Linked DNA regions of Nothobranchius furzeri. The protein of the gene in region 1 purifies or fractionates together with the protein of each later gene. This does not show direct contact. Links are inferred from orthologs where the notes say so. Each region holds a gene or a part of one and is shown on either strand. Other genes may lie near its edges.

Region 1 (7,907 bases):
TTAAAAAGTAATTTGTTTGTTTTTTTTATCACAAAACTTTACAGTGATAATCAACAGTCATTAATTGTTAAATCCTTCTAATTTTTCAGGTTCTGCGACCAAGGGAGAAAAAATTAGGCCTTGGTAAGTTGGTAAAATTATTGCATTTCCTTTATAAACATTACCAGTGGATGTAATCATCCCTTCATGTTTTAAAGGCACAGCCTACATCCATGGCATGAAGCATGCCACTGGGAACTTCATCATCATCATGGATGCAGATCTTTCCCATCACGTGAGTCGATGCACGAGTGTATTTGATGTATAAAATATCTTAGAAACAAGACATCTTTTGAGTATCTTGTCTGGAAAAACACAAATGGCTAGTAAAGTCCAATTGAGTATTTATTTATTTATTTATTTTGTTGCACTGCTGTGTATTTTATTCGTCTTTATTTTATTTCAGCCCAAGTTTATTCCTGAATTTATTGAGTAAGTATAATTGTTTTTTATGTTATGAGTTGGTGCGTTTATAAAGACTCGCAACATTTCTGATTATCAGGGTAACTTTCATCCATGTGTGACGAGTCGGATTATTCTAGCATGTTTTAGGTAAAGTATCGTATTTCATTCACAGAAAGCAGAAGGAAGGTGGTTATGACCTTGTGTCTGGTACTCGCTATCAGGGCAATGGAGGTGTCTACGGCTGGGACCTGCGCAGGAAACTCATCAGGTAACGGCCAGTGAGCAGAACTTGGTCACCAGTGTCCGCTCTCCTACGCTCGATGAAAACGAGATTTGTTTTTCTCTCCTGTGTCTTAGTCGAGGTGCTAACTTTTTGACTCAGGTTTTGTTGAGACCCGGCGCTTCGGACCTCACGGGCAGCTTCAGGTAACTGATGCAAGAGGTTTGAATCGTCATTGACTAGAAAACTGAACCGTTTCCTCACTTTTGTGCTTTTTTCCCTACGCTTTTGGAAGGTTATACAAGAAAAATGTGCTGGAGAGTCTGGTGGAGCGGTGTGTGTCTAAAGGTTACGTGTTCCAGATGGAGATGATCGTCCGAGCCAGACAGCTCAACTACACAATTGGAGAGGTGTTGACCTACCACGCTGTTGGGTTCTTTGAATATTTGTACTTTGTATGAGTTCTTCTCAACGTTTCCGCTGAAATTAAACTAAGGTTTATTTTCTCCTCGTCGTTCGCAGGTTCCTATTTCCTTTGTGGATCGGGTTTATGGAGAGTCAAAACTGGGAGGGAATGAGATCGTGTCATTTGTGAGAGGACTGCTCACACTCTTCGCCACGACGTGATCAGCGATGTTCAGAGCTTCTGGGAGCTTTTTTTTTTCCTCGTTCCACAAGTTTGTCTTTAAAACAGAAGTTTCACCAAATTAAAAACAAGAGAGAGACGTTCACCACTTTCTGTAATCATACGGTGACAGGACAACACAGGAGAAGGAAGGTGTTAGCAGTTAAAACTGTGGAAGATGTTCTTTTCTGTAGTTTTCAGAATGCTGAAGAAATGGTGATTCCCAAGTCTTGTCAATCCCATCGCAGAATGTTTCTGGAATTCTTTATTATTACAGTTTGCAAATGCATAAAAATAAACACGTTTTAATTGTAGACTCTTGTTTGTTTATTTTTAATTGATCCAATGGAAATTGTATGCGAATTTAAATGAACTCTTGACTTAAGAAACAGAAACCTGAGACTGATCACACCTGCCATATCCAAAAATTAGAAATTGACTCCATTTATATACTTGTAAGACTTTTAATGTCGGCATACATCAAATACCCAAAAATATCACGGACATGTCTGGATTATCCAGGAAGAAACACTTAAAGGATCTAAGATCTTTGGGAATCCACGTCTGCTATTAAAGGAAACATGCTAAAAGCTGTAGTTTAGAACATAATCTGGGTTTTTGTGTGAGAAGATGTCTGTATTTTTCATTTAATTGGAAACAAACCCTAGACACTTGTATTAAAACATTTTAGAAGAAAAAGTTCATCAGTAACCATCAAATAAGAGGTTTTATAATAACTAGAAATGCAGAGTCCGGTCCCACCTTACAGGAAAGTAGTCCCGGCTGAATGGATGGAGGTATCACAGCGCCACCTAGTGTTGGCCCGGCCTCCAGCTGCGTGCTGAGGCACTGTGCACATCCGAGCCTCCGCAGGGGAGGAGCTACCAGGACGCCCGCTACCGGACCGTAAACGTAACTGCTGCGCCTGGTTGTTTACCCCCGCAGAGAGAGACAGGAAATCAATACCGTCCACAAACTTTAAGACAACGGAGGCATTTATTATTTTAAGCAGATGTTTGCCTAAATGTTCGAACTGATTGGCAAACCAATCATGAGAGCGAGGACCTGGTCTTATTATTTATGCTAATGAGGAATATGTCACTTCCGCTTCTTTGATTTGCGCCATTTTGGATAGGGCAGCTGGTTGGCTGGATGTGTATTGTCTGTCGGGAGAGAACGGGTAAAAAGGAACCCGCTGTTAGAGAATTACGATCAGAGTTGAATTAATTAATTCACCAGAGTGTAAAGTACGTCGGTAGTTGACATGTGTCTACCTTCACCGCTCCAGGAAACGGAGGTTTTAATCGCCCGCCGAAGCTCTCTCTTTCCGTTCTCCGACCACGGGAAAGCGGATAGCCCTCGTCGCTGAGGGGCTGTCGGGCTGGGAAGGTAGACCGACGGCCCGGGTGACTTCTCCCCCACAAAGCACCTGGGAGGGAATTACCGACATATCCGTGCAAGCGGGAGCGTGAATACTCGACCTCGGTCATCCTGAGGTGACACATTTAATTCAGACGGGAGCACTGGATGTAAAAGCAGGTAAACCTGGATGTCCTAATGCCGGGGAGAGTCCACAGATGGTGGCCGCTTGCCGCTGCCTACCTGCGGGACGGGATGGGTGGTGGTGGCTAGTGTTAGTGTGTCGGGGTGGTAAACAAGTTTCATTCTTAAATTAAACGCATCGTGATGTTATTGAAGAACCAAGAGAAAATGCGACAGCTTTCGTTTCAACCCATGTTGTTGGGTGTTAGCTTAGCATGTTAGCTCAGCGCGGCACCACCATCCCTCCTTTGTCAGTTGCAGCAGCTTTTTGCTTTTAACTATCTGGATTCTGTCAGCTGTCTTGGATATTTAACTCATCACGAACACCACGGATGGTCCACAGTTTGTTCTGTTCGTTGCTACAGCGACCGATCTGTCCTGTGGTTATTATGGGATTGTAGGAGAGTGACCACATTAGTGTAAACAGTTTGGTTTTGAACCCGATTGTGAGGAAGTGTTTATGAGGGAGTCCTGGTTGTCTGTGATTAGACAGGTGAGTTCAGGTGTGTGCCTCTAAAGGGGAGCAGTGCTGCCATGGTCACCCTCAGACATCCTGTCACCTTTAATACCGTTTACAGGTGTTGAGCCGTGTGGTGAAACCTCATCAGAGGCATTTAAGACTATTATTCTTCTATTAAAGCGAACATGGATGTCACAAGAAGTGTGACCTCTTAGTAAACGTGGAGGAATGGTAAACATGAGGGTTGAGAACATTGGTTATCACATCCTGTTGGATTATTCGGCAGCATTTAAAGATTTCAAGGCCTCTTTTCTTTCTCTTTAGCACCACTGCAGAATGGGAAACATGTTCTCTGCCAGCAGCCATCGCCACAGCAGAGCAGCCTCTTCCTGCATTTCCTCCCAGTCCTCTTCCTTCTCTCCCTCCTTTCCCTCCTACTCAGCCTCTCCCTGGCTATCTATTCTCCCCTCCCCTGCTCTGCATCGCCCTCTCTTTCTCTCACCCTCTTCCATTTTCTGTCCCTCCAGCCTCCCAGTCCTCCCTTCCCCTCTCCTCTCTGTGTGCCTGACCTCCCTGCCTCCCCCCCCCTCCCCTTACCTCCCTGGCTCACCCCCCCCCCCCCATCTCTCCCCTTGCACTCCTTCTACACTTACCCGCTCACTCCCCCTTCTCTTCCTCCATGCACACTCCCCCCCCCATGATTTCTTTCTCTCACTCCTTCTCTCCCTCCTCTTCCTCTCCCTTCCAACATCACTCTCTCCTCCACTCCCCTCCCCCTCTGCTGCAGACATATTGTAGGGGCTGCTGCTTACTCAATAGGAGGCGCCATTCTGTGATGGTGTTGCAAGGCTGGGAGAAAAGGGGCCAGGCAGAACGTAGGGAGGCTTACATAATGGGAGTCCTCTGCTGCACCATCTACAAGAAAGGGAGGGAAGCAGGAGAAAGGCAGGTAGGGGAGAGGTGGGTCGTTGACTTTTAGGATGCAGGTGGGTCAGCCAGGCAGGTGATGGACCCACAAAAGCATCTATATCTCATTTCCTCAGATTCCTCAAGGGGTAACGAGCTGAGATGTTAACAGGAATTGTTGGAAATGTAGATTGTTGTCCTAGTGTACCAGTGACCTTTGACCTTCCTGCATGAAGCTTTGATTTGAACAGAGCTTGTTTCTTGAGCAATAGAACTAAAACATTTAGCTGAGTCTGGCAAATTTAACAATCTCATTTATACAGATGTTAAAGCATCCTAGAGTTGATCTTGTTGAACATTGGGAGCTAGGGGGATCGGATGCACCATTCCTAAAGTCTGTGCCGTCTCCGACCTGCTTTTTATGTAACGATCAATAGTCATAGACAAACCAACTGAAACTTGCATGTCCCAACCCACCTCAACGTCAGCAGTTTACAAATGTTGGTAGTTAGAATGCTAACCACACAACAACACTAGCCCGAACTACTGCTAACATCCTTGTTGAACGTGAGGAAGACATCCAGGCGTAACGTTCTAGGGTGGACTGGGGTTATCCAGACTACCCCTGAATGCTTATAGAATTATCCATATGATGTAGCATCATTGAGACATCAAGGTCAACTGACCAATCAGTGCTCTGCTTGGTCTTCCTGTTGTAGGGCTTCATTAAGGGGGTGTGGCTGGTCATTTATCAGGGCTCTTGGGTCATTGTGAGCCCCAACAAAGTTTCATTTAAAATGGTTTGTTTGGCTGTTGGCCTGTTCCAGCAGAACTCATAAAAGACGTTGATTCCATTGATTGGATCAGCTGTTGTTGGACTTGAACTTTCTGGTCCGTACCAATTTTTTTTTCTCTTAGTAGGAACAAAAGTCAGTCATCACGGTTGAGATTTAATGTACAACAAATACTTTACATTAGGGCTGCACGATATTAGGAAAACCTGCGATATTCGATAACCGTGCTTAATATTGCGATATCGATATTACTCACGATAAATGAACAAATACTAAAGTATGCAGTGCTGATGTCGTCTGGCGTGTGACGTCTGCTCTGGGTTCAAAGCAAACAAAAACTAATGCATGAATTCCATTACAACATAACATTTTTATTGCAAAACTATGCAGCTGCACCTGCTGCTGTATTAGCAGCTGCACCCGCTACTGTATTAGCAGCTGCACCCGCTACTGTATTAGCAGCTGCACCTGCTACTGTATTAGCAGCTGCAGCTGCTACTGTATTAGCAGCTGCACCCGCTACTGTATTAGCAGCTGCACCCGCTACTGTATTAGCAGCTGCACCCGCTACTGTATTAGCAGCTGCACCCGCTACTGTATTAGCAGCTGCACCCGCTACTGTATTAGCAGCTGCACCCGCTACTGTATTAGCAGCTGCACCAGCTACTGTATTAGCAGCTGCACCCGCTACTGTATTAGCAGCTGCACCCGCTACTGTATTAGCAGCTGCACCCGCTACTGTATTAGCAGCTGCACCAGCTACTGTATTAGCAGCTGCACCCGCTACTGTATTAGCAGCTGCACCCGCTACTGTATTAGCAGCTGCACCAGCTACTGTATTAGCAGCTGCACCCGCTACTGTATTAGCAGCTGCACCTGCTACTGTATTAGCAGCTGCACCCGCTACTGTATAAGCAGCTGCACCCGCTACTGTATTAGCAGCTGCACCCGCTACTGTATTAGCAGCTGCACCCGCTACTGTATAAGCAGCTGCACCCGCTACTGTATAAGCAGCTGCACCCGCTACTGTATTAGCAGCTGCACCCGCTACTGTATTAGCAGCTGCACCCGCTACTGTATTAGCAGCTGCACCAGCTACTGTATTAGCAGCAAAACAACAAACTGCATGCATGCAGTTTCTCAGTGACTTTAAAACATCACCTCCACTATAAAACTTTTTCTGATGCTCCAAATACAGAAAAACGTTCCTTACCAGGGTTTTTGGAATAAATAAAGATATTAGAAAATAAGTTTAAATGTTAAATAATAGTTAACATCACTTAAATGCAACAGCAAATTCTCTCATTGCTACTGAGCATTTTCTCCACTTATGTGGTTATGATATAAGGCTGTTGCTGTAATTGGGAAGTGAACTGTGCTGGGCCAAACTAGGAGAATATTAAGATTTTCTGAGGGAAAGAGAAAAACAATTGTCTACCTTTCAGAAGAGGAACTGGCAAGAATCTACATGGAAAATATTTGAAAACGTTTGTTTTTAACCCCAAATTGAACAAGTTTACCTAGATCTTAAAAAGCAGTGAAGTGTAGCGCCAGTGCCCTATACACTGGCACTACCTGGTAGCTGTTGCGGGTGGTCTTTACGTGTGCTTTAAGCTAAAAGCAGCCCTGATGATGAAACTGCAACTATGATTCTGATAACAAGCTAACAAACTGAGCTAGCTCCTCTAAGATAACCGGCTAGCAGAGCTTCTGACTGACAGTTTATGTGCAGCAGCAAATCAACTATCCTGATTAACAAGGTTATAAAAGCTCATAAATGAAAAATCACTTTGATGTGTGGGGGAACTTTTCCAGGCCCTCTTTAGCAGGGTGGGACTGGGAGGAGAGTGCTGTAGCCTTTTAGCTGGAAGCTAACCGGAGCCTGGGGCTAACATCACCACCCGGTGGAACACTAGCGACGTGAAGGTGGGTTGGTTCACCGGCACGTGTCGGAGTCAGCCCGGTTATTATCAGCTGCTTAACGACACCGAGCGAACTCACGTTCACGTTTGAAAGCAGCGCTGATTCCAGAAACCTCAGCACAAAGTGCGTTTGTTAATCTGAGCCAGCATGACGAACAAGGGAACGGCGCCTCTAACTCAGTTCGGGTGTTGCTTTCCATCCTAAGGTCTACGTAGGGGGTGGGCGTATTACGTAAACGGACCTATCTGATTGGCCGCATATCAGAAGGGCTCCATTTGATTGGTCAAATAATAATTCAGCGTAAAAAAACAGAGCTGGTTTACAAAAAGGTGATGTATGACACGGATGGAAATGTTGAACCAAACATTTATCGCCATTTTTGACGTGCTTTGCGATGGGCCTATCGCACGTCCTGTTATTCCGATGACGATAATTTTTCGATATTTGTGCAGCCCTACTGAACATGTTGTACTTTTGAGAATGTCTCTGCTCCCTCTAGTCAGTCTGTGAAGTTGTTGGCATTATTAGATTTTTTTATCCAAATGAAATCTAAATCTGTTGGGCAAACGCTGTTTCTAAGTGCACATGTCTCGGCTAGAGAGGTCCGGTGGTGGAGATGGAGAAGTGTGCCGTCCAGGTAGGATGTGGGGCACGGTGCAAAAGCTTGGTCAGGGGAAAGCCCGTGTTTTGTTTTCAACTGGTTGGAAATGATGGATAAAGCTGCTGACACCACTGGTTTGGCATTTATCAATACTGATTGTTTTTCATTGTAGTGACGGTGGCGTGTAAGGCCACACACGGGTCAGCAGAAAATAGTGGACCAGCAGCAGTTATGGGATGCTGAGAGTTCAGAGCGGCATTAATAAGCTGTGGTTTTTCTGTTTTCACAAAGCAACGCTTCTATTTAATCAAAGTTTTTTTTACCAAAGTGTCCTTGTGACCAAAAGATCAAAAGGTGAAGATCGTCTTTGGTAATCTCGTGTGAAAAGGCCT
Region 2 (7,447 bases), on another chromosome or scaffold:
ACTGGTTGGCTTAATGAACTGGCCTGTATTGAAATGTTTACTGTGTGAAGGTCCTTGAGACGACTCTTGTCGTGGTTTGGCGCTTTATAAATAAACTGAATTGAATTGAGTGGCTGGGCTCTCCCTTAGAGATAGGGTGAGAAGCTCGGTCATCCATCGGCTCGGAGTAGACCCGCTGCTCCTCCACATCGAGAGGAGCCAGCTGAGGTGGCTTGAGCATCTGGTCAGGATGCCTCCTGGACGCCTCCCTGGTGAGGTTTTCCAGGCACGTCCAACTGGGAGGAGGCCTAAAGGTAGACCCAGGACGCGGTGGAGGGACTATGTCTCTCACCTAGCCAGGGAACGCCTTGGGATTCTCCCAGAAGAGCTGGTCCAAGTAGCTGCGGAGAGGGAAGTCTGGGCCTCTTGACTTGCACTGCTGCCCCCATGACCCAACTCTGGGTAAGCGGTAGAAAATGGATGTATGGATGGATGGATATAAATAAGTCGTTACTAAGAGGTGGTGGTTGGAATGTAGATCAACTTAATCAACCCTCTCTTTAAAATAAGCAAATTAAACATCCAGCAACCCAGTCCTGGGTGACAGAATTTGCTTTACAAACTATTAGAATAAATGCATGATTAAAAACTAGTTACCCAATAAATAGTAGGTCTTCAACCAAGAGTATGACTTAACAAGCAAGTCAACCCTAAATCAACCTTTTTTGCCAACAAATGTTATAGTTGAGTGTCTAATAGTGCTGTAGTAGATGTGTAATTGTTTTTGCATTTTAGTACATCTTATTTAAAAGTTAAAAGGCACCCTATTCAGGTTGAAACGGCACACTTCATGTAATTTGAAACAGCCATTGCTATTGGCTAGGTCAGGGTTCTCAACCCTGGTCCTCAGTGCCCCCTGTCATGCCTGTTTACAATGTCCATTCTTCAAGCACACCTGTTTTACAGCTTGGTACCAGTAGCCTTGGGAAACTCATGAGCCATATGTTCAAAACGATATGGCTCAGGGTCACTCATCTCTTCATAAAGCCTCCCTCTGGTGACTGCTTTGAGGCAAAGGAGCTAGTGTCCCTATCAGTTTCTAGGAAGTGCTGCCTTTATTTCGTCTGAGTCATGTGTATTTGTGTGTGTTAGCTCTACTTGTGAGGTGTGTGTGTGTGTGTGTGTGTGTGTGTGTGTGTGTGTGTGTGTGTGTGTGTGTGTGTGTGCGTTAGCATCTCCATCTAAGCAGATTGAATGTTTGTGCGTGCTTATTAGTGGTTCCGTTCTCCAATGCAGTTTCACTGAGCATGGAGTGAGCGTAGCAGTCCTCGTCACTCACTGTCGCAATTCTGCCCTCCTGGTACACCAGGAAACACCTCCTTGTGGTGCATTTTTCAAACAGGCAGTGTGGGTGCAGTAAGACTATGGTAGGGGGGTGACTTGCTCTTTAATGAGATGTTCTTTGGTTCTTGATGGCCGAATCATTACTGGTAGATCAAGCCAGACTTGTCTATGGTCACCAGGAAGGTGCTCCACCTGTAAGAGGTATCCCAACATTCTACAATGGGGATTGGATATAAAGCTGTTCAATATTTGGTGTTGTTATTTTTAACAGTTTAGCTGATTTTAAGACCTTTATCCTCATTTTTGTAACTGAACCAAGCACAGAACAAGTATTAATAACATGGCTGTGAGGTGGTATTCATGACAAGTATACACTGTAATTTTGTGTGTGTGTGTGTGTGTGTGTGTGTGTGTGTGTGTGTGTGTGTGTGTGTGTGTGTTTGTTCTTTCCTCCAGCACTACAGCTAGAGTCAGATTCGGAGACTGTGACTGACCTCCACACTTGTCCGCTCTGTGGGGATGCGTTCGATAACAGGACGGGGCAGTCTAACCATATAAGAGGTCATCTGAAAAAGCTTGGGAAAAATTTTGCTTCAAAGAGCAAATCCCCAATCATTTTACTGCATGAGTTGATGCGAGACAAAAAGGAATTTCAACAAGCCCTTCAGATTCTGGGAAGAAGACGAAACCATTTTCATTATGGTGCTTCACCAAAGCTGCCCATCACTAATCGCTTCACCTCTTCTCAGACCAGATTCCCCAAAAGTCATTCCATCCCAAGTGTTCTCACGGACACCAAACCACTGATGCCCACATTTACTTTATCTGACATTAAGTCTGAAAATGGGCAGTTGGAGAAGATGGGTGTTAAAAATTCTCTCTCAGGCACAACTGCCTTAATAGGGATTCTGAAAAAAAGGAAGTGTCAAGAAGACGCCAGACTAAAAGGATCAACTCCGATCTCAAGAAATGAGTCAACGGTTTCTTCAAATAGTGAGCACAGTTCAGGATCACTGCCAAACTCTCCATCTGGTAAGCAACGTCCTCAGAAAGGTAAAAGGCAGAATTCCTTCAAAGGAATTCCCTGATGTTGTCGACGTTATTTTCTAACAGAAGCTATGTTCTTACACTTATTTGATTCTCTTGAATCACACAGGTAAGGTTTGGAACATTTAGCGTTGACTTTATTTTTATGCACTGCCAATTCATTATTAAATATTTCAATACATCACATCAACTTTAATGATAATTTAGCAATTTTTTAATTTTGTTGTTTTAGACGAGCTCATTTTCAATGCAGGTTTTGAAATTACGTCAACACAACATTTTTATATCAAACATCAGTTAATTGGCTTCGTGCAACGATATGTCTATGATTGTATAGTGATTAAAGTAATTGCTGTGGTAAAATTTGAGAAGATTGCACAAAAACTGTCATTGCAGATTTAAGTTTTTGCACAGACACTCATCAACGATAGATGAATGGTCGAACTCCTGAACGTTTTTTGCAGTTCAGAGATATGTAGACTGGCTTCAGCTATGCTCAGATCTTAGTCATGTCCTAAGATCAATGTAATGTACTTAGGAAAATGTTATTACATTTTGTGTCTTTTTTTGCAGAAAAGGGTGAATTCAACAGGAAGATGTGCATTCATTGCAATGCAACTTTCCACAGCGGAGTTGCCCTCTCCAATCACCTCCGGGCATATGCAAAAAGAAAAAGGATCGCCTTACAAGAGGGAACCAGTAAGTATTGTCACCAACACTAGTAGGCCTTTCTACTGTAAGGGTGTAGCCTTTAACACGTCAGCCAAGCAACAAACAGGCCACCAGCCGAGCTGTTGGTGTTTCTGTGGCCATGGATGGAAACCATGGTGTGCTGCGTTGAAATTCCTAGCTCGGAGCGGGTCTAAACACGTCATTAACTCTACGTTATCGCGTATTTTGTGCCCAAAGGCTTTTTACCTAGATGAAAAATCCACTCTGCAATTATTGCAAGTTACCCTGTTGTTATGCTTTCGTGTAAAGTATAACCAAACTTTCGAGCATTTGTGCCGCGTAGACGCCATGTTTCCTGCTTCCGTAAGCTACGCAACGTGCACGGTGATGTCATTCGCGCAGACTGGAATTGATAAGGGGCACGTTTGCAAAAGTGCCGAACGATTCCTAGGAATTGAAACGATAGGAACCGGTTTTCAACAAGAACCAGTTTTTATTCCCAACCCTAGTTAGCACCAGCTAGCTGTTAGCCTCAGCTAGCTACAGCTTTGTTGCAAGAGAGAAAAACACTACTCACCACGAAGGTTTCAGGATATACTTGAAAAATCCAGAGTACAAATAAATGCCAGATAGATCCACAGTCTATGTTAAAATACAAACAGTTGTATGTTATTTATCGTGATATTTATCAAATATGGTTATATATTGAGAAAATATATATTTAATTATAAAAGAGAATTAAAATAAAACACTCACAAGTATCTAAAATTGGCACCGTTAAGTACCGGTATCGATTCCTGGGTACCGGGAGTTAGTACAGAATCCATTCAAATGTCAAAGGTACCCATCCCTAGTCAACAGTGAACAGACCCGTCAGCATTGCAACTTTTTCCACTTTAATAAATAATATTTGTCTTCTGTGTGCTCCGCTTGTCTGCTGTCCTGGGTCGGGAGTCTCCAGATGGGAAAATGTCAACAGGAACACACCAGCTGTTTTATTCTGGAAGATAATTTATTACATTAATCCAACAAAACGGCTCGTTACAGACTTCTCTTCTCAGCTCCTTTAGCTTTCAATCCAGAACAAGCAGAATGAAACAAGCCCCACCCCCAACTCCCATTTCTCCCTTTTCATCCCAACACCATCGTAACTGTGGCGGCGACCCATGAGCCATTAGATTAGCCTCTGTGACTCGTTAAACCCAGCAATGATGCTGGTCACAATATTGCCACTTTGGCCCTAAAGGGTTCATTTTTACAGTCTTTCTCAGTAGACCTGTCCGTTATATGCCTGTACGTTTATAACGTACTATTTTATTTATTTATATTATAAAGGCTGTGGTTCCTAGTTTTCACTTTTCTCTCCTCCAAACCCTTCTACTGTAGGCTTGAGTCAACACACACACACACACACACACACACACTGGTAGAGTGGGGGAAAGCAGGTCTTATTACGCCTGTTTTGTCTATTTTTAGGGACATTTTAAGCTCCGACTAAATGTTCTATGCAAATAGAGGCTCAAAGATCAGTTTCTACTAGGGCTGGGCGAAAAATCGATAAAATGAATTAATTCGAATTTTTTGTTGCGGGCGATTCATAAAGTAGGTAAATCGAGTTTTTGTAATGGCGCCTTTTTGGCCCTCCGGAGGTCCCGTAGCATCAGGTTCCCCACCCACGAGCGAGCAAAAACACACAAAACAACAGACAGCAAGCGACCACATGGCGACCGGTGATGGCGGTGAGAGTGGGAAGTTTGTTCCGAAGAAGGGGATAAAATCATCTGTTGTTTGGAACTGGTATGGGTTTGCTGCAACAGACATAAAACAAGAGACCCCATGCTGCAACCTTTGTCTAAAACCCGTTGCAATCAAAGGCAGCAGCAGCACCACTAACTTGTTTCAACACCTAAAACAGAGGCATCAAGCCAAACACGAAAAATGCCAGTCTCTCCGAGACGAACAAAGCCGCAGTGACCAAGAACCAGCGGCTAAAAAATTGCTAACTGTAGCCAAATCGTTCGCACAGGGGACCGCATATGACAAGAAAGGGGCCCGGTGGACTACAATCACCGACACGGTTGCTTTGTATACAGCAAAAGACATGGTACCCATATATACCATGGAGAAGACGGAGTTTATAAATTTGATGAAAACATTGGATCCCAGGTATGAGCTACCCAGCTGAAAGTATTTCAGTGAAGTAGTCTTGCCGCAGCTGTACAGAAACACACGCAAAAAAGTTGGCAGAGAACTGGAGGAGCTGTCCTTTTTTTGGCAACAAGCGACATGTGGAGCAGTTGAACTATGCAGCCGTGTATGAGTTTAACGGTGCATTTCATTAACAATGCGTGGGATTTACATAGTTTTTCCCTCCAAACGTCATACTTTCCTGAGGACCACACCAGTGAACTTATCGCCAAAGGACTGAGAGACGCTCTTGACTGCTGGAACCTGTCTGAGAAAAATCGGACAAAATCGGAAATCGAATTCAAGCAAATAAAATCGGTTATTTTATTTTTTGGCCATATCGCCCAGCTCTAGTTTCTACATTTAAATTAACGCCATTTTTCTGCCCCTTTAACCTCCACAATACATTTATTGCTGTACTATGTTAGAACGTTGGTAAGAGGCATGAAAAAGGGTTGAAGTTGCTGTTGTAGCTTTAAGTATTTACACTAAACACTTCCATAGGACTCTATAGAAGTAAAACATACATGTAGAAATGTGGCGTTCACAGGCAGATTAAGGCTGTTGACCAAAACATTAAATCTTTTATGTTCGTATTTTATTAATAAGTGAGTCCTAAAAGGTCTATTTTAGGGCTGAAATGAATAATCAAAAAATGTCATGACTACAACATCTCAGGTCATTTCAAGTCATTCAGAATGGCTCTACTTACATGTTGGTGCGTTTACATGTGCACCAGAAAAGCACATTGTTGCCCTAAATCAGGTTTTTCTTACATCCATGTAAACGCGTTAGTCTGGTTCAAGGCGAACTGGCTCTAATCGTGCTGAAAAACCCAGATGGCGTGGTAGGAACCAGACTTCTTCTGCGTGTAAACGGCTCCGGCGAGCTGATCCCGGTGACTTCCAGAAGTGACGAGATCGAGGAAGCGGTCTTCTGATAACACCTTGTGGCGACGATATTAGGTCCAGTCCGGTCTGCACCACATCAGCTGTGCTGCTTCAACCATGGTGCATATCCTGTTTTAACTCCATCTGCTTCGCTCCCACCAGCGTTTGTTGGCGCTAACTTTGAGAGGCTGGTTTTCTACTGTACATGTAAACTAGGACGAAGGCTCCTGGTTTATAACTTTAGATCGATTTTGAACGCACTGAGACTTCGTCTCTGACATCTCTCTGATGGACAGATGTATGAGATCTGGTGACTGATGGCAGCTGTGTATACAGACGTATGTGCTGAGAATCATCTCGTATGTTCATGTAAATGGTTAACATGACAAGTTAACTAACATTTACTGTGATGGATGGAACTAAATGTGATGTATGAACCTAGGTGTGAATGCGGTGTTATCAGAACTTCCGTATCTAGGAAAGCTGAGTTCTGGGTGTAGAAGACTTTGGTTTGCGTTAAGCTAAGAAGTTGATTATTATCAAAAGGCATCAGACGCAATCTGTGTGTCTACTTCACTCGTTCTCGGAGACCCTCTTGGTGGATCCAAAGGTCAGAGAGGTCGGCTGACCTCTGGCACCGAAGGGCTGTAGAATACCGTGGCACCGACGCTTCAGTCCAGAGATGTCTCGGGTCATGACAGACGGCGTCTGGGACTCTAAAGGAGTCTAAACAATATCAGCTTGTTCTGCAGGAACTGTTGCTGCATCAGCTTCGCAGGTGCAAAAAGATTTTGGCGACGTGTGAAAAGCTTTGATGGGTTAGAGAGGTTTTGCTTCAGGTGGCCGGTCTGAAGCTTTCTCAAGAACTGATGAATCACCAGAGTGATCCAGTTTTAAGGATCTCATATTATGATTTGCGTAGCCAACCAAAGGCTGACAAGTTGAGGAATGGTTACCAAGACAACCTCAGAAACACGCCTTCTTTGATATGGAGGCTCTGGCTGGGGTAAAAGACCATTTATGTGTCACGAGTTCAACTTAACCTTACTTGAGCTTGTGTGAGCGCAAATGATGATGACCTTGCCATGTAAACAACACAACATTCATTTCAAACTTCAGTCATTAAGCACAGATTAATGAAACATTTCATTATAATTATTATAAGTAGCAATAAACAAACATTTATTTAATGATTATCTAGCTTAAAAGTAGTAGAAGTTCATATTTAATTTAGGAAATCATTCTTGATTTAGCAACTGATCCGAGCTGGAGTGTTCCTTATTCAGATGCATGGAGACCTGAAAGATTGGTCCTTGAGGAGAGAATGT
Region 3 (7,878 bases), on another chromosome or scaffold:
TGGGGGCTGTGGGCCAACAGATAAAGCAGTTGACCAGAGATGTTCTGGCTCGGCTCAGGGATGGGTCAGGACAGCCCCTGAGCCCAGACAGATTTACCCTGCAGTGTGGCGCTAACGGGAGGTTTGTGGTTCAGCCCATCAGACGTCCAGCCGTCTCCACATCAGCAGGCAACAAAACAAACAAGAGGAAAAAAGGGAAGAAGCAGTGATGTTTCGTTTCCTGCTGAGACTTGAGCTTTTAGAGGCTTTTTTTGATATTCCCGAACTTGACTGACTCTGGGTTTGGGGTTCTTTTTTTGTAGGTGGTGTGTGTGTGTGTGTGTGTGTGTGTGCGTGCGTGCGTGCGTGCGTGCGTGTGTGTGCGTGCGTGCGTGTGTGTGTGTGCGTGCGTGCGTGCGTGTGTGTGTGCGTGCGTGTTTATTCACCACTGCCATAAGCCTTCACTATCAGAAGCTGCAAAAACAAAACAACACTCTGAACACAAATGAATAATTCGATAGAATATCTGTAAATATTGAGACATTAGTAGTGGGCACACTGGACTTTGTGTTTATTAAAGCTGGCAGCAGAACCAGCCCCTCTCTGGGCCGGGCCTGATAACGTAAAACTATCACCTTTACTGGGTATGGGTCCGAGGGGTTTTGTGTGTAAATTTGCCTTTTTAAGTCTTTTGAGGAGAACTAGGAAGTTGAAGATTATATTTATTCTGGTTTGAAAGGTTTTTGAAGTGTTTTCATTTTGACGAAGACTGTTTCCTTCTCTTTTTTTTTCAAAATGGAAAAGTAAAATTTAAGTAAATCTAATGTTTACAGGGGCGTTTAAGGTAACTGTGTGTAATGTTATTTATTTAGGCTAAAACTGGAAAAAATAATAAAGATTTGTCTTTCTCATAGTTGCCAGGGGTGACATGCCAAATACCAATGATTACAATGAAGAGGCTTTATTTTGTAACGTTGTATTTGGTTCGAAAATAATCCACACACGAATGCTTTAAGACACTATTGATGCAGATTTTAATAACAAATAGATGGTTTTGACTTAAATCCTTCATAGTTCGAGTTTCAGCATGCTATGCTCAGAAATCAGTTTTTGATGATGTTCAGCTAAAAATGAACCAAAGCGGTGGTCCCAGCTTTGTTGAATGTTGTTTTATATGCAGCGTGCTTCTGTAAGGTTTGCTGAGTTAAATAGAACAATTCTAAAACGGTCTCACGCAACTTCTTTTGTTTGATTTCCAGTTTACAGGGATGACTTTCTGTGATTTTTGGCTCCAGTTTCATCTAAAATGGATTTTCTTTCTCAGTGAGATTGTGTGAGGTATTCTAATCAGTTTTTTTCTTGTTTATAATTGTTTTATAATCTCTTTACTCCTAAAATACACCCAAAATGATACATAAGGTTGTATCTATGTTACAAAGACCCATTCTGGAAAACATAATTTCTCACTTTTCCCATAAAGATGCTTCTAAATGGCACAAAAAGGCAAACTTTACTCATCTGCTGACCCTTTTGTGCTTTACTTAAGTCAGCTGATCTGACATGAATCCCCTCACATCTACTAAAGCACAACCTCACCTAAAAATAACTTTAGAACAGAAGAAATCCCCTGTCATGCAAAATATGTTATCCACTCGCTACACAAACAAGAATGATTGTTGTCTGTTTATATGTTTGGGATTATTAGAGAATGCAATATGACAGGCTGAGTGTTTGATTACACTAGGGCAGGGGTGTCCAATCCTGGTCCTCGAGGGCCGTTATCCAGCACGTTTTTCGTTTTAACCTGCTTCAGCACACCTGATTTCAATCAGCAGGTGATTAACAGGCTTCTGCAGAGCCTGATGAGCTGCTGCACAGGTGATTCAACCAGCTAATCAAGCATTTTGAAGCAGAAAAACCACAAAACCTGCTGGTTACTGGCTCTCCAGGACCAGGATTGGACTCCCCTGCACTAGGGAGTGTATAAACTTAATTGTGATCCAAAGATCATGTTTTCTCTTTGTCCTGGTTTAAACGTTTATTTGTGTGCATTTCACTTTCATACATCTTGTTTTTTCATGCATGAGTCACATTTGTCTGTCTGTTTGCGGTGATTATTGAAAAGATAAATCTGATTGAAGAATACTTGATTTCTTTATTAAAAACATTTAAATAATGTCTTGTTTTGTCTGGCTAACAGGTTATATATACCATTACTGTTATGGTGCTGCGTGCTGGTGAGCATATCAACATTATTTTCCTCACCTGAGCTGAACACCTGTGTTGACCGGCATCATTTCAGGACAGAAGGCAGACAGATTTATTAAAATATGGCTGTAAAGCATATTTAACAAATACTCGTTCAAAATCACAAGCCAGTCATTTACGGTATTCAGTAGAAAGTAAAAGAAATTGTTTCACTCAGTCTGAGAACAATCTAAACAACTTGAGACATCAGGTGCTCAATTTAATCTGAATTCAGCATTAGCATTATGACTTTGGGGTCAATTTGTTAAATTTTTCATTTTTGAACAATCTGAAAAAGAAAATGATTGCTAGTGTTTATGCTTTATTCCTTCCACTACTTTATAGTTTAAAACATATATAAACGTTTTCATTTACTACCAACGTGTCTCAGATTGCGTTAACTAGCGGCTTGAAGCCTTGGTTCATGAAAAGGGCCCTTCTGGAACACATGGGTCAGCTCGGCTGCAGACGAATCGCTTTTCCTTCTGGGCTTCCGTAGCCACAACTAGTTTTTGGCGCCGCCTTCGTTGTGGGATCGACTTCATCCGAGCGGCGTGGTGCTGAACAACTATAGAAATCCGCGCGCTTTGGGTGAGTGTGCGGAGTTCTTCTCTTTTAAAACAATGTTGAGTATTTCTTTAATTACATCAGGCTACTCTGAGCGTGTTAAAACGCCACCTATACGTTGCTGGTTTTTTGACAAACAGCAGTTTAGTTGTTGACCCAGCAGCGTTAGCATCGCCATTGTTTAGCTATTACTGTAATATGTTAAGCTAGCTGAAAGTAAGGCAAGTAAGGTGTTGTTTTGTGGGGATGTGTTGTAGTTTTACCACAGTTTTTATTTTATCTTTTACAATTCTACTAATTCTGTTGCTCAAATAAAATCCGCAGATGAGACTGTTTAAAATCAAGGAAATTTTAGGTAAGGGGTCAGCGTGTTAGCAACCTTTGTTACGTTTAGCTGCTAAATGCTGAGCTAACTAGCAGGTGGGCCAAATTAGAGTAATGTCCTATGTTAGCGTTGGCTGAGTTATTTGTAGCCTAGCATCCGGGTGGATTTAAGGCCTTCCGAATAAATGCGGCTCGTCTTTTTATCTTTAAAAAGCAAAATGGGCAAGAAACAGAATACAAAGCCTAAGAAGGAGACCGAGACCCAGGAGGAGCCTGAAGAATTTGTTGTGGAGAAAGTGTTGGACCAGCGGATCGTCAACGGGAAAGTAGAGTTCTACCTGAAGTGGAAAGGCTTCACAGAGTGAGTTACCCGGGACAATGTCCTGCTCTCTCCGCCTCTAACGCACCGTGGCTGCATGAAGCCTCCCAGCTTTTCCCTTTTAACACGTTTGGGATGTTTTTGGTTTGAACGCTAACCTGTTTTTTTTTTTTTTTTTTTTGCTCCCTCAGAGCGGACAACACCTGGGAACCCGAGGATAACCTGGACTGCCCCGAGCTCATTCAGGCCTTTCTGGATTCCCAGAAGAATATAAAGGAGAAGCCGGCTGCAGTGAAGAGGAAGGCCTCCACAGATGATGCAGAAGAGGAACCCAAGAAGAAAGATGTGGTTAGATTATACGTTTTTTATGTCTCTGACCTGCTAGCATGATTCCCTGTAGGTTGTGCAATCAGAATATGGTTTATAACCTGTTTTTGTTTTTATTTGACAGCCTGATAAGCCTCGCGGCTTTGCCAGGAACCTGGAGCCAGAGCGAATCATTGGTGCCACAGACAGCAGCGGGGAGCTGATGTTCTTGATGAAGTGGTGAGTTAGGCAGACTTTACACCCAATTTCAACAAGAGTAGTTTCACATTTACCTCGGTTGCTTTGCATGGCCATTAGTGTTTTTTTAGGGAGTCGAACTAAAAGCGGAAAAGGTTTATTACAAACATGTAGAGTATTTAGAAATAAAATCACTTGAATATATATAATTTATTTCTTTGATTTTTAAATAGGCTTTTCTAAGATCTGCTGTTTTATTTTAGTTTTTATTTATTTTTTTGTCCCCCAGGAAAGAGTCAGATGAAGCAGACTTGGTCCCTGCTCGTGAGGCCAACACGCGCTGCCCTCAGGTGGTCATATCCTTCTATGAGGAGCGGCTGACGTGGCATTCCTGTCCAGAGGATGAGGCTCAGTAGCCTTTGCCTGGATTCTGCACACCTTTATGTTTTAGGTTTTTATTGTGTTCTCTGTTCTGCTTTTTTTTTTCTTCTTTAGCTACTTTAGCTGATTTGAGACAAAATCATTTGTATGGCAGTTGGGGTATTGTAGATTAAAAGTTTGTCAAAGCAGGTGACTGGGTTGGATATAAGATTAGTCAAAAAGCGATAATGTCAGTCCACATTCCAATTTGTTTATTTTTTTTACTTGAGTCTATGTCAACCTTTTTGAGTTCAGTTAAATGTTTTGTTCCTTGATGCAAGTGCCGACGTGTTTGAAATGAACGCTTTGTTTACAGTTTGTAAATATAAAGTTCAAATAAAGGTTTTATGTGGCCTAGTTTTACCCTCTTCATTTGTAGTTTAGGACAAATGCATACAGAAAAAAGAAAACCTAAATGTTGCTTTATTAAAAGTGTCACAGCCAGCTGAGTGGTTCTGTCAGGGTATCAATCCTTGGCCTACATCAGAATGTTATTTTGGCAGCAGCATTCTGATCTCCTTAGAGGAACAGTGGTGAGATATTTATCCAAGGAGGACCATGAATGTCCACACCTGTCTGGAGCTCTATCAGCTGCTCATTCTGTTCTGCACTTGGTGTAAATGAGGCTTCAGTCTGCTGGTTCTCAGTAATGGATAATGGTTGGTTTCTTCTATAACCACTTGTAAAGACACATTATGGAGTTTATTTTAAAAGTAACTGGTCACATGTTAACAGCTATTTGCCTGTCGGAGATGTTAAACTTCCAAAAAAGCCTGGAACAGCTGGCAGGAAGTGTTGATGAATGGAAACATTTAAAGGAGACTAAAATCAGTCCAACCATAGTTTTACCTGTCATTTGATCATTGCATCTCACCTAATGATGCTCACACTAAAAAGGTAGAGATCGAAGACTTGGCTTTATCACCTGTAGTAGACTCATGGATGGTGACGTAACCTAAAACTTCATATTTATGTCCAACCGTGTGGTGATTGGTAATTCAAATCTGAATTCAGGTGTCTATATTGGTGGTTTTTATTGAACGAATGGGGGATAAAGTTGCATTGACGTTTCTGACTAAACAACATCCAGTTTCACCCCTCTGGCCTTTACCTACTGATAAAGTAACACAAGATAGGAGACGTCAGCGTAAAGGAGCAGTTATTAGCTGATTTACTTAAAATCTCATCACACCACTTGTGTTCAGATGGGCTCCTGGGCTGGACAGAAATAAACTTTGCTTAGGTAAGATGACTTTCACTTGTTTGTATCTGGGGTCCAGGCTGCAGCATGTTGTTTACAGGAATTTATCATTAATGGCTGACGTCTTGTACAAGCTGAGATCAGAAAATTAAAGTTTCTTTGATTTGACTAACAACAAAAACTTCTGTGTTAAAATGATCAATATTTTCTGTGCTGACGCTGGATGTAAAGATCCCCTTTTAACTAGTGTTCTCTATAAGATTCCACATAAACCCTCATGCTTGGCTCAGGATAAGATAAGAACAACTTTATTTATCCCGAGGGAAATTCTTGTGTCATGTACATGCTCAAAGCAGTCGGAGACAAAGGAACAGGTGAAACAGAAATATGATATACAATATATACATTAAAAAAATGATCTACAGTAGTACCATGTAGGATAGTGCAAAACAAACAATCGCATATCTCAATTAAATACATGACTGCATCCTTGTGAATAAGCAATTAAGCCGTTGGTGCAGGCGATTCACAAAAGTGATTATTGTGATCCTCCCATAAAACAACTTTATTAATTACCATTTTAAATTCTAATGAGGTTGTGTGTGTGTGTGTGTGTGTATATATATATATATACATACATATATCATCATTGTCGTCTTCCTCCGCTCATCCGGGTCGCGGGGACAGCATCCCAACTAGGGAGTTCCAGACTGTCCTCTCCCCAGCCACCTCCACCAGCTCCTCCGGCAGGACCCCAAGGCGTTCCCGGACCAGATTGGAGATGTAACCTCTCCAACGTGTCCTGGGTCAACCCGGGGGCCTCCTGCCGGCAGGACATGCCCGAAACACCTCCCCAGGGAGGCGTCCAGGAGGCATCCTGACCAGATGCCCAAACCACCTCAACTGACTCCTTTCGATCCGGAGGAGCAGCGGTTCTACTCCGAGTCCCTCCCAAATGTCCGAGCTCCTCACCCTATCTCTAAGGCTGAGCCCGGCCACCCTACAGAGGAAACTCATTTCGGCCGCTTGTATCCGCGATCTCGTTCTTTCGGTCATTACCCAAAGCTCATGACCATAGATGAGGACTGGGACGTAGATCAACCGGTAAATCGAGAGACTGGCTTTCTGGCTCAGCTCCCTCTTCACCATGACAAACCGGCTCAGCGTCCGCATCACTGCAGACGCCGAACCAATCCGCCTGTTGATCTCCAAATCCCTCCTACCCTCACTCGTGAATAAGACCCCGAGATTCTTAAACTCCTCCACTTGAGGTAGAACCTCTCCCGACCCGGAGTTGGCAAGCCACCCTTTCCCGGTCGAGAACCAGGTCTCAGATTTGGAGGTGCTGATCCTCATCCCAGCCGCTTCACACTCAGCCGCGAACCTACCCAGCAAGAGCTGAAGGTCAGAGCTGGATGAAGCTAGGAGGACCACATCATCCGCAAAAAGCAGAGACGAGATTCTCCTGCCACCAAGCTCGACACACTCCACACCACGGCTGCGCCTAGAAATTCTGTCCATAAAGGTAATGAACAGAACCGTTAACAAAGGGCAGCCCTGGCGGAGTCCAACCCTCACCGGGAACAGGTCTGACTTACTACCGGCTATGCGGACCAAACTCACGCTCCTCTGGTAAAGGGACTGAATGGCCCTTAACAACAGGCCACCCACCCCATACTCCTGGAGCGTCCCCCACTGGGTGCCTCTGGGGACACGGTCATAAGCCTTCTCCAAATCCACAAAACACATGTGGATTGGTTGGGCAAACTCCCGTGCCCCCTCCATCACCCTTGCAAGGGTATAGAGCTGGTCCACAGTTCCACGGCCAGGACGAAAACCAAATTGCTCCTCCTCAATCTGAGATTCAACTATCGATCGGACCCTCCTCTCCAGTACCTTGGAGTAGACCTTTCCAGGGAGGTTGAGGAGTGTGATCCCCCCTATAGTTGGAACACACCCTCAGGTCACCCTTCTTAAAGATGGGGACCACCACCCCGGTCTGCCACTCCACAGGAACTGCCCCCGATGACCATGCAATGTTGCAGAGAGGTGTCAACCACGACAGCCCTACCACATCCATAGCCTTGATATACCCAGGACGAATCTCATCAATCCCTGGGGCTCCGCCGCTGTGTAGTTGTTTGACTACCTCAGCAACTTCTGCCCCCGAGATTGGACAGTCCGTTCCCAGGTCTCCTGGTTCTGGCTCCTCCTCGGAATGTGCGTAGGAGAGATTAAGGAGCTCCTCGAAGTATTCCTTCCACCACCCGACTATAGTCCCAGTTGACGTCAGCAGCTCCCCATCCCCACTGTAAAC
Region 4 (7,967 bases), on another chromosome or scaffold:
ATAAAAAGGTATATAAAACAGCATTCCGGACCAGCAGGAAGGGAACATTCCGCCTCGCTGATGCGCCGGGATTTTTCCTTCACCTCTTTCTCTTTCCCGTTTTTCTCCAGTCTCCGGATTCTCTCCTGCTCCTCTGTGTCGTCCTGTTTCACGGCGTACTTTTTGATGACATCATCCAGACGAGACAAAGCCACTTCCCTGTTGGACCGTAGCTTCTTCAGCAGAGACAGGTCGGACAGAGCCGGGTCGTCAGCTTCCACCGGAGGAGGAGAGATGAGAGGATTAGGCACAAACATGGATGAATGAATGAAAGTATTCAGCGTGAACGCGGAGCTGGAGCCTCACCGGGCTTGTAGGCGTCGGTGAGACGCGAGCCGAAGTTGTAGACGAGGTCGAGGTGTCTCCGCTCCTGCAGGAGGCTGCCCGTGTCCCTGAAGGCCTCCTGGGCGATCTGACTCACCTGTTTCCGGTTCAAACACAGGTTGTGGCGCTCGTTGACGCGCACCACCAGCTGCCGGATGTCGTGATAATCCGGAGGGTTGCTACGAGCCTCGGGACTGTTGATGAAGCGCTCGATCTGACAGGAAGCAGGAACACATCCTACGTAAACGCTAATCCACCCGCTGGAATGACACCGAAAGAGAAGAACTCACCTTCCGGTTGATCTCAGGGAAGCGAGTCGTGTTGAACTTGATCTTCTGCTCGATCACTCGCCCCGTCAGCGTGTTGCAGCCCTTCAGCTCACACAGCTTCTCGTAAATCTTCATCATCTGGAAACAGACGTTAAAAAAAAAAAAGTCACCCGTCGTCCCACCGGAGATGCAACGTTCCGGGTTTAATCTGCCGCTCAGCCGACCTTCCGCTTGAGTTTGTGCTCCTGGATGTACGTGGAGTCTTCCGTCTCCATGTCGTCTAAAGTCAGCTCGGCCTGCTGCAGCCGGCTGATCTCATCGTTGTACGACTTCAGCAGGTTCTCCAGGTGTGCGATCTGGAAATCAGAGCGAGTAAAACCATAAGGGGGGGGGGTTCTGCTGAAAGGAAATCAGCTTTTCGGCTCATTTTACTGCAAATAAGTGAGAAAAAGTTCAAACAAGCAGGATTAAAGCCTTCAGAGATAAACACTCACCTGTTTCCTTAACGCTCTCTTAGCCTTCCGCTGCGCTTCTTCACTCTCCTCCTTGACCTCCTGACCTCCTGACGTCGAGGCTCGTTCTGCGGCTGGTTTCCCCTCCTCCTCCTCCTCCACTTTAGTTTTACTCTGGAGTGAATCGGGAGCAGACCGGGTGGCACCCGACGTCGATGCAGAAGGCTCCGCCTGGCTGAGGGCCGGCCTCTTCTTGACGCTGTGCTGCTTGAGCACGGTGCACAGTTCATTAATGTAGACGAATGTTTTGGAGCTGTTGGCCTGAGCGCGGGTCAGACATCGTCCCAGCGTGTTCCTGAACTCCACGGAGGACAGGAACTCAGCGCTGGCCTTGGCGTGCTTGGTCTGGAGGAAGGTTAAGACCTCTGGGCAGTCCTTAGTGAGAGACGTGCAGTGCTCCAAAAACTGGAGAAAAGGCAGAAAGGAACCTGATGAAGCGTTTGGTGAATCTGGTTTTGTTAGAGAATAAAACTATATACATATATATATATATATATACATATATATATATATATATATATATATATATATATATATATATACATATATATATATATATATATATATATATATATATATATATATATAAACTCACCACACTGAACAGCTTCTGGTTCTCTGCCTGCAGAGCGTTTACGCTCTTCCTGTTGGAAGCAAAAGGAGAGTGGACGATGTGTGTGGGAGCCTGCTGCTGACGGCGGGCTGGAGAGACGTTACTGGTTTGTCGCTTGGAGGAGGAGGAGGTGGCAGAGGAACACGCAGGTTCATCATCTTCAAGCACAATGATCTGATCTGCCAATGAGGCAGGAGCCACCGCCATCCCAAGTTCAGCTTGTTTCTGTTTATAAAACCCAAACGAGATGAAGGAGATCAGCAGAGCGGCGAGTTTATCATCGATAACGGTTAGGAAGTGACAGAGTTCTCTGTAAACCTCTAGAGTTGTATGGAGGTCGTTTGTTAATATCTCTGGTGATTTAAACCCTTTTAGCATATTTAAGAGAACGTGTGACGTTTCGGCTGTTTATATTCAACGCTGGTCCGCTTCCTTGCTTGGTGCAGCTCTCTTTAGGGTGCAAAACAAAAGTGTAGTTCTGAGACCCGATGAAGGAGGTGGCCTCAAAAGGTTGCAGCTTTGAGGCCCACACCCTCCTGTTATCAGACTTGCATTGCATTCTGGGATGTGAGTGAAAACGTAAACAACAACAACAGCTGCAGCATCTCACAACAAGCCACATATAGAGGATCTACTTCACTCGTGTTGATCAGAAGACTGGATTTGTCAGCTCTGACTCAGAAAATGTTCAAATTATTTATAAACAGATAAATAAAATATATTTATGTAATTGTGTAAATAAGGTTTGCTGAAGGTTTTTTGGTTTATAAACAGACTTCAGACTAAAGAGCAGATAAAACATCTCAGAACTTTTACAAGGTTTTTAATTCAGTAAAATAACGATTATTTGTTGTCGTCTTCCTCCGCTTATCCGGGTCGCGAGGGCAGCATCCCAACTAGGGAGCTCCAGACCGTCCTCTCTCCAGCCGCCTCCACCAGCTCCTCTGGCAGGACCCCAAGGCGTTCCCGGACCAGATTAGAGATGTAAACTCTCCAACGTGTCCTGGGTCGACCCGGGGGTCTCCTGCCAGCAGGACGTGCCTGAAACACCTCCCCAGGGAGGCGTCCAGGAGACATCCTGACCAGATGCCCAAGCCACCTCAGCTGGCTCCTTTCGATCCGGAGGAGCAGCGGTTCTACTCCGAGTCCCTCCCGAATGTCCGAGCTCCTCACCCTATCTCTAAGGCTGAGCCCGGCCACCCTACGGAGGAAACTCATTTCGGCCGCTTGTATCCGTGATCTCGTTCTTTCGGTCATTACCCAAAGCTCATGACCATAGGTGAGGATTGGGACGTAGATCGACCGGTAAATCGAGAGCCTGGCTTTCTGGCTCAGCTCCCTCTTCACCACGACAGATCGGCTCAGCGTCCGCATCACTGCAGATGCCGAACCAATCCGCCTGTCGATCTCCCGATCCCTCCTACCCTCACTCGTGAACAAGACCCCGAGATACTTAAACTCCTCCACTTGAGGTAGGACCTCTCCCCCGACCCGGAGTTGGCAAGCCACCCTTTCCCTATGATTATTAATAATAATATTTATATTTAGTCATAATTCAATTAATGTATCTCTAACTTCCCAGCATCTTACAGTAGTGATTTAAATATTCATAAACATTACATCAAAACAAAATACTTGTATGTCTCATAAAAGTAGATTATGTCCATTTCAGTTTCACTCTCAGGCATTTTGAAAACATTAAAATAAAATTAGACATTCCAAAGATTTCAAACGTTTGTGTGTAGAAATAATGTTGATGTCATATTTAGCCTAAATGTAGATGTTAAAACATAATCACCCTAACCCAATCATAATACATAAATGCTTTAAAGAATAATTTATTATAAAGTATTGGATTATTTGGGATTATTTTAGTAGAAACAAACATTTCTAATTAAGGACCTCTTAGGAAACGAGAATTAGCTTTTAATAACAACATTTTTCTGTGCTTTGCTTTAATAGTAAAACACTGTCGCTGTTAACTAAAACATCAAAGCACATGTTGTTAAACACGTTAACTTACATTCCCGCGAAATTATTAGCTTTAAAGGACAGAAACGAAACTGAAACGCCAGTAAACCTGAGATAATTCTGATCTTGTGTTAAAATAGATAAGAGCTACAGACAGTTGACCACAAATACCAAAAACACTTACCTCTTGTTTAAGAGCAGTTCGATGAGAAAATAAAGAACATTTGCGGGTTACAACGCAGCTGGTTAGCTGATGTTAGCATTAGCAACAAGTAATCATGTTTATTTTTATGGTTAACACGAAAATTGGTCTTAGTCTGTTTGTTTTGGATAATAAACAAAATAAACTATTGTTTAATTCTAGTTTTAACCCAATGAGGCTTCCTGTTTACTCACAAAAAGCTTCTAGACTTAGCTAAATTGTTAACTCGCGACCCGCTAAACTCCGACGCACGTAGTTGACTCTGGTTGGTCAAAAGACACGTTGGGATGAGTAAAGCCTTCTGTCATTGGACAAAAGGAATGTGTCTTTTTCTCTGGTTTATTTTCTGGTTAACTTTTTTTTTACCGCCACCTGCTGGAAACATGTATGACGATAGAGGTCTCCAAGAAGTTTGTTTTCCACGCCGAATTTCTACAAGTTAAAATAAATGCAAGCGTTTAAGTGGAATATTTCTACAAATTATAAAGCAGATGACAACAGAGACCAAAACTTGCTTTTCATGCAGAATTTCCTGCAGAATTTTAATTACATCTTTCTCATTAAATGTTTTAGTCCTGAATGTCTCAACTGAAATGTCTGTGGTGTTTATTTTCAGCTACAAACATATTTGTGTCAGCTTGTGCAAAACTTCCTTAAATTTATGCAAACATTCTAGTCAGGCTCTGACACAAGGCAGCTGCTGTTTAAACAATTCTGCAGGAGATGCACAACAAACTAATTTATGTGTTTTTAAAGGCTACACTGCTTTTTAATTTGTTGAAATATTCCAGAAGTGTTGGTTTATATTATTAAATATCAGTGGCGCCATTAATTCTAATGGTACTTGTTTGTTATTGAATTTACTTTTCTAGTTGGCACAATTCATCTCCTAGAAGGTTTTATTGAGGTAAAACATCTTTAATCAGATGAACTAAATTGGTGTTTTAAATTTCTAAACTCACTTAAAGTTATTTACATAAAATTAAAACTACAATCACAATTCCTATAATTAACATAAATACTAATTTATCACAAATATGCCTATTGGATCATTCCTAATCCCACAAGTTTATCATATTGAAAAAAACAAATTTCATATCTTCTATCTATGTGAATTGCTACTAAAATGGATTTTTTTTCTTCACAAAGATCAGAATTAGATGCTTGTTCCCCATAAAAGTCTTTATTTTAGTGAAGTTTCCACCAACACAACCCCTGACTCATAACTATGCAGAATTATACACAAAAGACTTTTCAGACTTACAAAAGTCACATTTCATTAGAAGTTATGGAGAATTTTAAATTAATTTTACTGTCTCCAATAAATTGAGATTTCTTGTCCAAATAAATATTTTTTTCTGGTATTAAGTTCAGAACAAAAATAATAATTAAATCGTTTTAACATGTTTAAAATGAAAATGATATTAAAAACTACATTATTTTAAACTTAAAGAGCAAGTCACCCCCAAATCAACTTTTTTCCCCTGATAAACTATATAAATGCGTGTCTAATCATGCTGCAGACACGTGTAGTCAATAAATTTGCACTTTAGTGCATTTTAGTTCAAATTTTAATTTTCTGCCTAAAACCGTCAGTGTTGTGCCGTTGTCAGGTAAAAACTCTGCACTGCATTTGAATTTAAATCTGCCATCACTATTGGCTAAGAGGTACCCAAGAATGTTAGCTGGTACCATATGATGTCACAATGTCATTGTGAGCCTGTGTGTGTATTTTATTAGTGGCTCCGCCCTCTCGGTCTGCTAGGCAACAGCATTTGTTGCATTTTTCAAACAGGAAGTGGGAGTGGAGCAATGCTCTGGTAGGGGGTGACTTGCTCTTTAATAAAAGCTTCTAAGAAGTTTTTTCAATTTGTAACAAAATCATTAAATAAAAGATAATTTTATTTATAAAAGAGCTTTGTCACTTTTAACGTGAAACCGTCACGTCGGTATTTACATAAAACAGGATAATTCCAGGGAATTCTCCCGGATTCATCTGCAACACAAAACAGTGAAAAATCCAGCTGATCCACGTTTAGACTCATCACCACGCTGGCTGAAGGAACAGAATATTTATCCGAGCTTTAAGCTGAAAAGCTGCAGAGAAGTCACGGAAAACTTAAATCCAGTCGTCTTCTGTTAACTTTATTTCTGCTTCTGTGAGGAAAAAGAGGGAAAAGTTATAAACATTAAAACAAAAAGTGAAGATGTTTTAGTTTCAAACCCGACGCTCCTTACCTTGTCCTGTCCATCTGTTTTATCTGAGCCTAAATAATAAAAAAGGACACAAAAGTCAGGCAAAAATACAAAAACTGGATTTAAAGAGCTAAAAGATGATTTTTGCAGCCTTAAGGGATTAAATTCCTGTATTTAATAATCTATATTATTCCCACCTGATCCAGTAAGGGTCCAGGACACAAACTTGATGAGTCCGTAGAGAACCAGAGCCACGCCCACCATCGCCATAGAGTCCTCAATGGAGGGAGAGCTGAACCCTGAGGGGAACAGATTAACGCCTAAATTACTTTCGTTTCCTGATTCATTCAGACATCAAAACTGATTCTGCTGTAATCATTTAATCCCTGAATAACATATCTGACTTTTTAGGAAACGATTGTAAAAAATTTTACTTTTTCCCTTTTATTTTCAGACCCTCAAAAACCAAAATTTCCATGTTAATCTAAGATATTTTCCGTTACTCCCAGATTACCGATGATGTTGAGGCTCACGCTGGCCCGCCGTGTTCCTCCCGGATGGACAGCCACACAGGTGACCTCCCCTCCGCGTCCCAGGTCCAGTCTGGACGTGTCCAGCTCCAGCCGGGAGCTCTGGCTGAAGGTGCCGTCCCAGGCCTGCTTGTGGCCCGACATGCTGCCTGTTCCCAGGGATCTGCTCTTCCCATCAGCACCTTTAAACTCCCAGCTCAGCTCCAGGGAGAGGGGGGCGAAGCCGGAGGCTTCACACTGGACGCTTATCGTCTGACCGGGAACAGCGAGGGGCAGAGGGGACGGGTAGAGAGAGAGGGACGGAGGTTCTGAGGAGAAGACAGGAACAAAAGTGTTAATATCAGGTTTATTAGAGAATTTAGAATAAATCAGATTAGCCTTTTCAATTTTCTCCTCACCTACTATCTCCAGCTCTATGGCCACCTGAGCCAGCAGGTACGGCAGGTAAACGGTGCAGATGTATGTCCCTGAGTGACGGACTTTAGCCTCCTGCAGGATCAGAGAAGCATTTCCTCTTGTGTGCAAACCTTCAAAGTCCAGAGTGGCTCCTTCTTCCCGAGTTTCAGCCAAACGGTCCGTTTTCCCGTCGTAAGCCAGAACAAGTCGGCCGTCACCTCTGGTCTGGTACCGCCACTCCACGGCAAAACCCGTCGCAGTCAGAGGGGAGGAGGGGTCGGCCCAGAAGCCACAGTCCAACGTAACCGGCTCCCCGAGTCTGGAGCTCGCTGACATGGTTTTACTGGTGACGCTCAGGACCACTGAGGAACCAGAAACAAGTAAAACACAGGTCAGGATATGTTTTAATCAGATTTGATCAAAGTAAAAACTCTTTACCATCATGGTCTTTGGTTCCTGTCGGAGCTCGAGTGATCGCAGAAACTCCCAGCTGCTCGTCGAGGCCCTGGAAGGAAGCTGAGAACCAGTCAGCCTGCAGGTAAATGGGACTGAGCGCTGATTCTGTCAGCGACGTGACCCATCTGAGGCTGGAGGGCTGCGGCAGGAAGGGGTTGATCTCACACTGGGGCTTCTGGATGGAGCCTCTGGGGGGGTTCAGAGAGTGGTGGCAGAGAGTTGCTGCAGGGTCTGAGGTCAGAGGGGGCGGGATGTAAACAGGAAGTTACACACAGGTAATTCTGACCCAGATCCAGGTGAACTTGTGGCTGTGTGTCAGATTAAATCAGACCCACCTGTGATAACGTAGACCCTGCTGGGGCTGATGTCAGAGGGAACGTGATGGGAGTCGGTGTGACTCTGTGCATCAGTTCTGACATGAAGAAGGGATTTCTCCTGCATCGTTGCTCCAGTTAAACC

The links.
Region 2: the proteins of adnpb (region 1) and znf644a purify together in Homo sapiens (affinity purification with mass spectrometry; 3 studies listed by BioGRID and IntAct, with this or other methods). This does not show direct contact. The link is inferred for Nothobranchius furzeri from reciprocal best matches to the Homo sapiens genes ADNP and ZNF644.
Region 3: the proteins of adnpb (region 1) and cbx3a purify together in Homo sapiens (affinity purification with mass spectrometry; 7 studies listed by BioGRID and IntAct, with this or other methods). This does not show direct contact. The link is inferred for Nothobranchius furzeri from reciprocal best matches to the Homo sapiens genes ADNP and CBX3.
Region 4: the proteins of adnpb (region 1) and daxx purify together in Homo sapiens (affinity purification with mass spectrometry; 4 studies listed by BioGRID and IntAct, with this or other methods). This does not show direct contact. The link is inferred for Nothobranchius furzeri from reciprocal best matches to the Homo sapiens genes ADNP and DAXX.

The regions. Positions count from the first base shown.
Region 1 is NC_091755.1:48,126,313-48,134,219, reverse strand, and holds the start of adnpb (activity-dependent neuroprotector homeobox b), read left to right. Parts: upstream 1-2,621; 5' UTR 2,622-2,828; intron 2,829-7,805; exon of another isoform or gene 7,806-7,907. Other genes in the region: dpm1 (dolichol-phosphate mannosyltransferase subunit 1), read left to right, coding at 90-123, 198-274, 446-471, 617-712, 802-870, 960-1,074, 1,187-1,291.
Region 2 is NC_091751.1:71,504,819-71,512,265, reverse strand, and holds part of znf644a (zinc finger protein 644a), read left to right. Parts: intron 1-1,779; coding exon 1,780-2,355; intron 2,356-2,943; coding exon 2,944-3,069; intron 3,070-7,447.
Region 3 is NC_091751.1:29,400,398-29,408,275, forward strand, and holds cbx3a (chromobox protein homolog 3a), read left to right. Parts: upstream 1-2,668; 5' UTR 2,669-2,817; intron 2,818-2,830; exon of another isoform or gene 2,831-3,148; intron 3,149-3,331; 5' UTR 3,332-3,335; coding exon 3,336-3,478; intron 3,479-3,627; coding exon 3,628-3,784; intron 3,785-3,887; coding exon 3,888-3,982; intron 3,983-4,229; coding exon 4,230-4,356; 3' UTR 4,357-4,717; downstream 4,718-7,878. Other genes in the region: nfe2l3 (nuclear factor erythroid 2-related factor 3), read left to right, coding at 1-209.
Region 4 is NC_091759.1:22,794,980-22,802,946, reverse strand, and holds the start of daxx (death domain-associated protein 6), read right to left. Parts: upstream 4,053-7,967; 5' UTR 3,913-4,052; intron 1,983-3,912; 5' UTR 1,965-1,982; coding exon 1,740-1,964; intron 1,550-1,739; coding exon 1,127-1,549; intron 989-1,126; coding exon 857-988; intron 771-856; coding exon 654-770; intron 578-653; coding exon 346-577; intron 254-345; coding exon 84-253; intron 1-83. Other genes in the region: tapbp.1 (TAP binding protein (tapasin), tandem duplicate 1), read right to left, coding at 6,076-6,087, 6,169-6,197, 6,324-6,425, 6,641-6,964, 7,055-7,414, 7,491-7,739, 7,844-7,967. UniProt on the Homo sapiens protein: Transcription corepressor known to repress transcriptional potential of several sumoylated transcription factors. Down-regulates basal and activated transcription.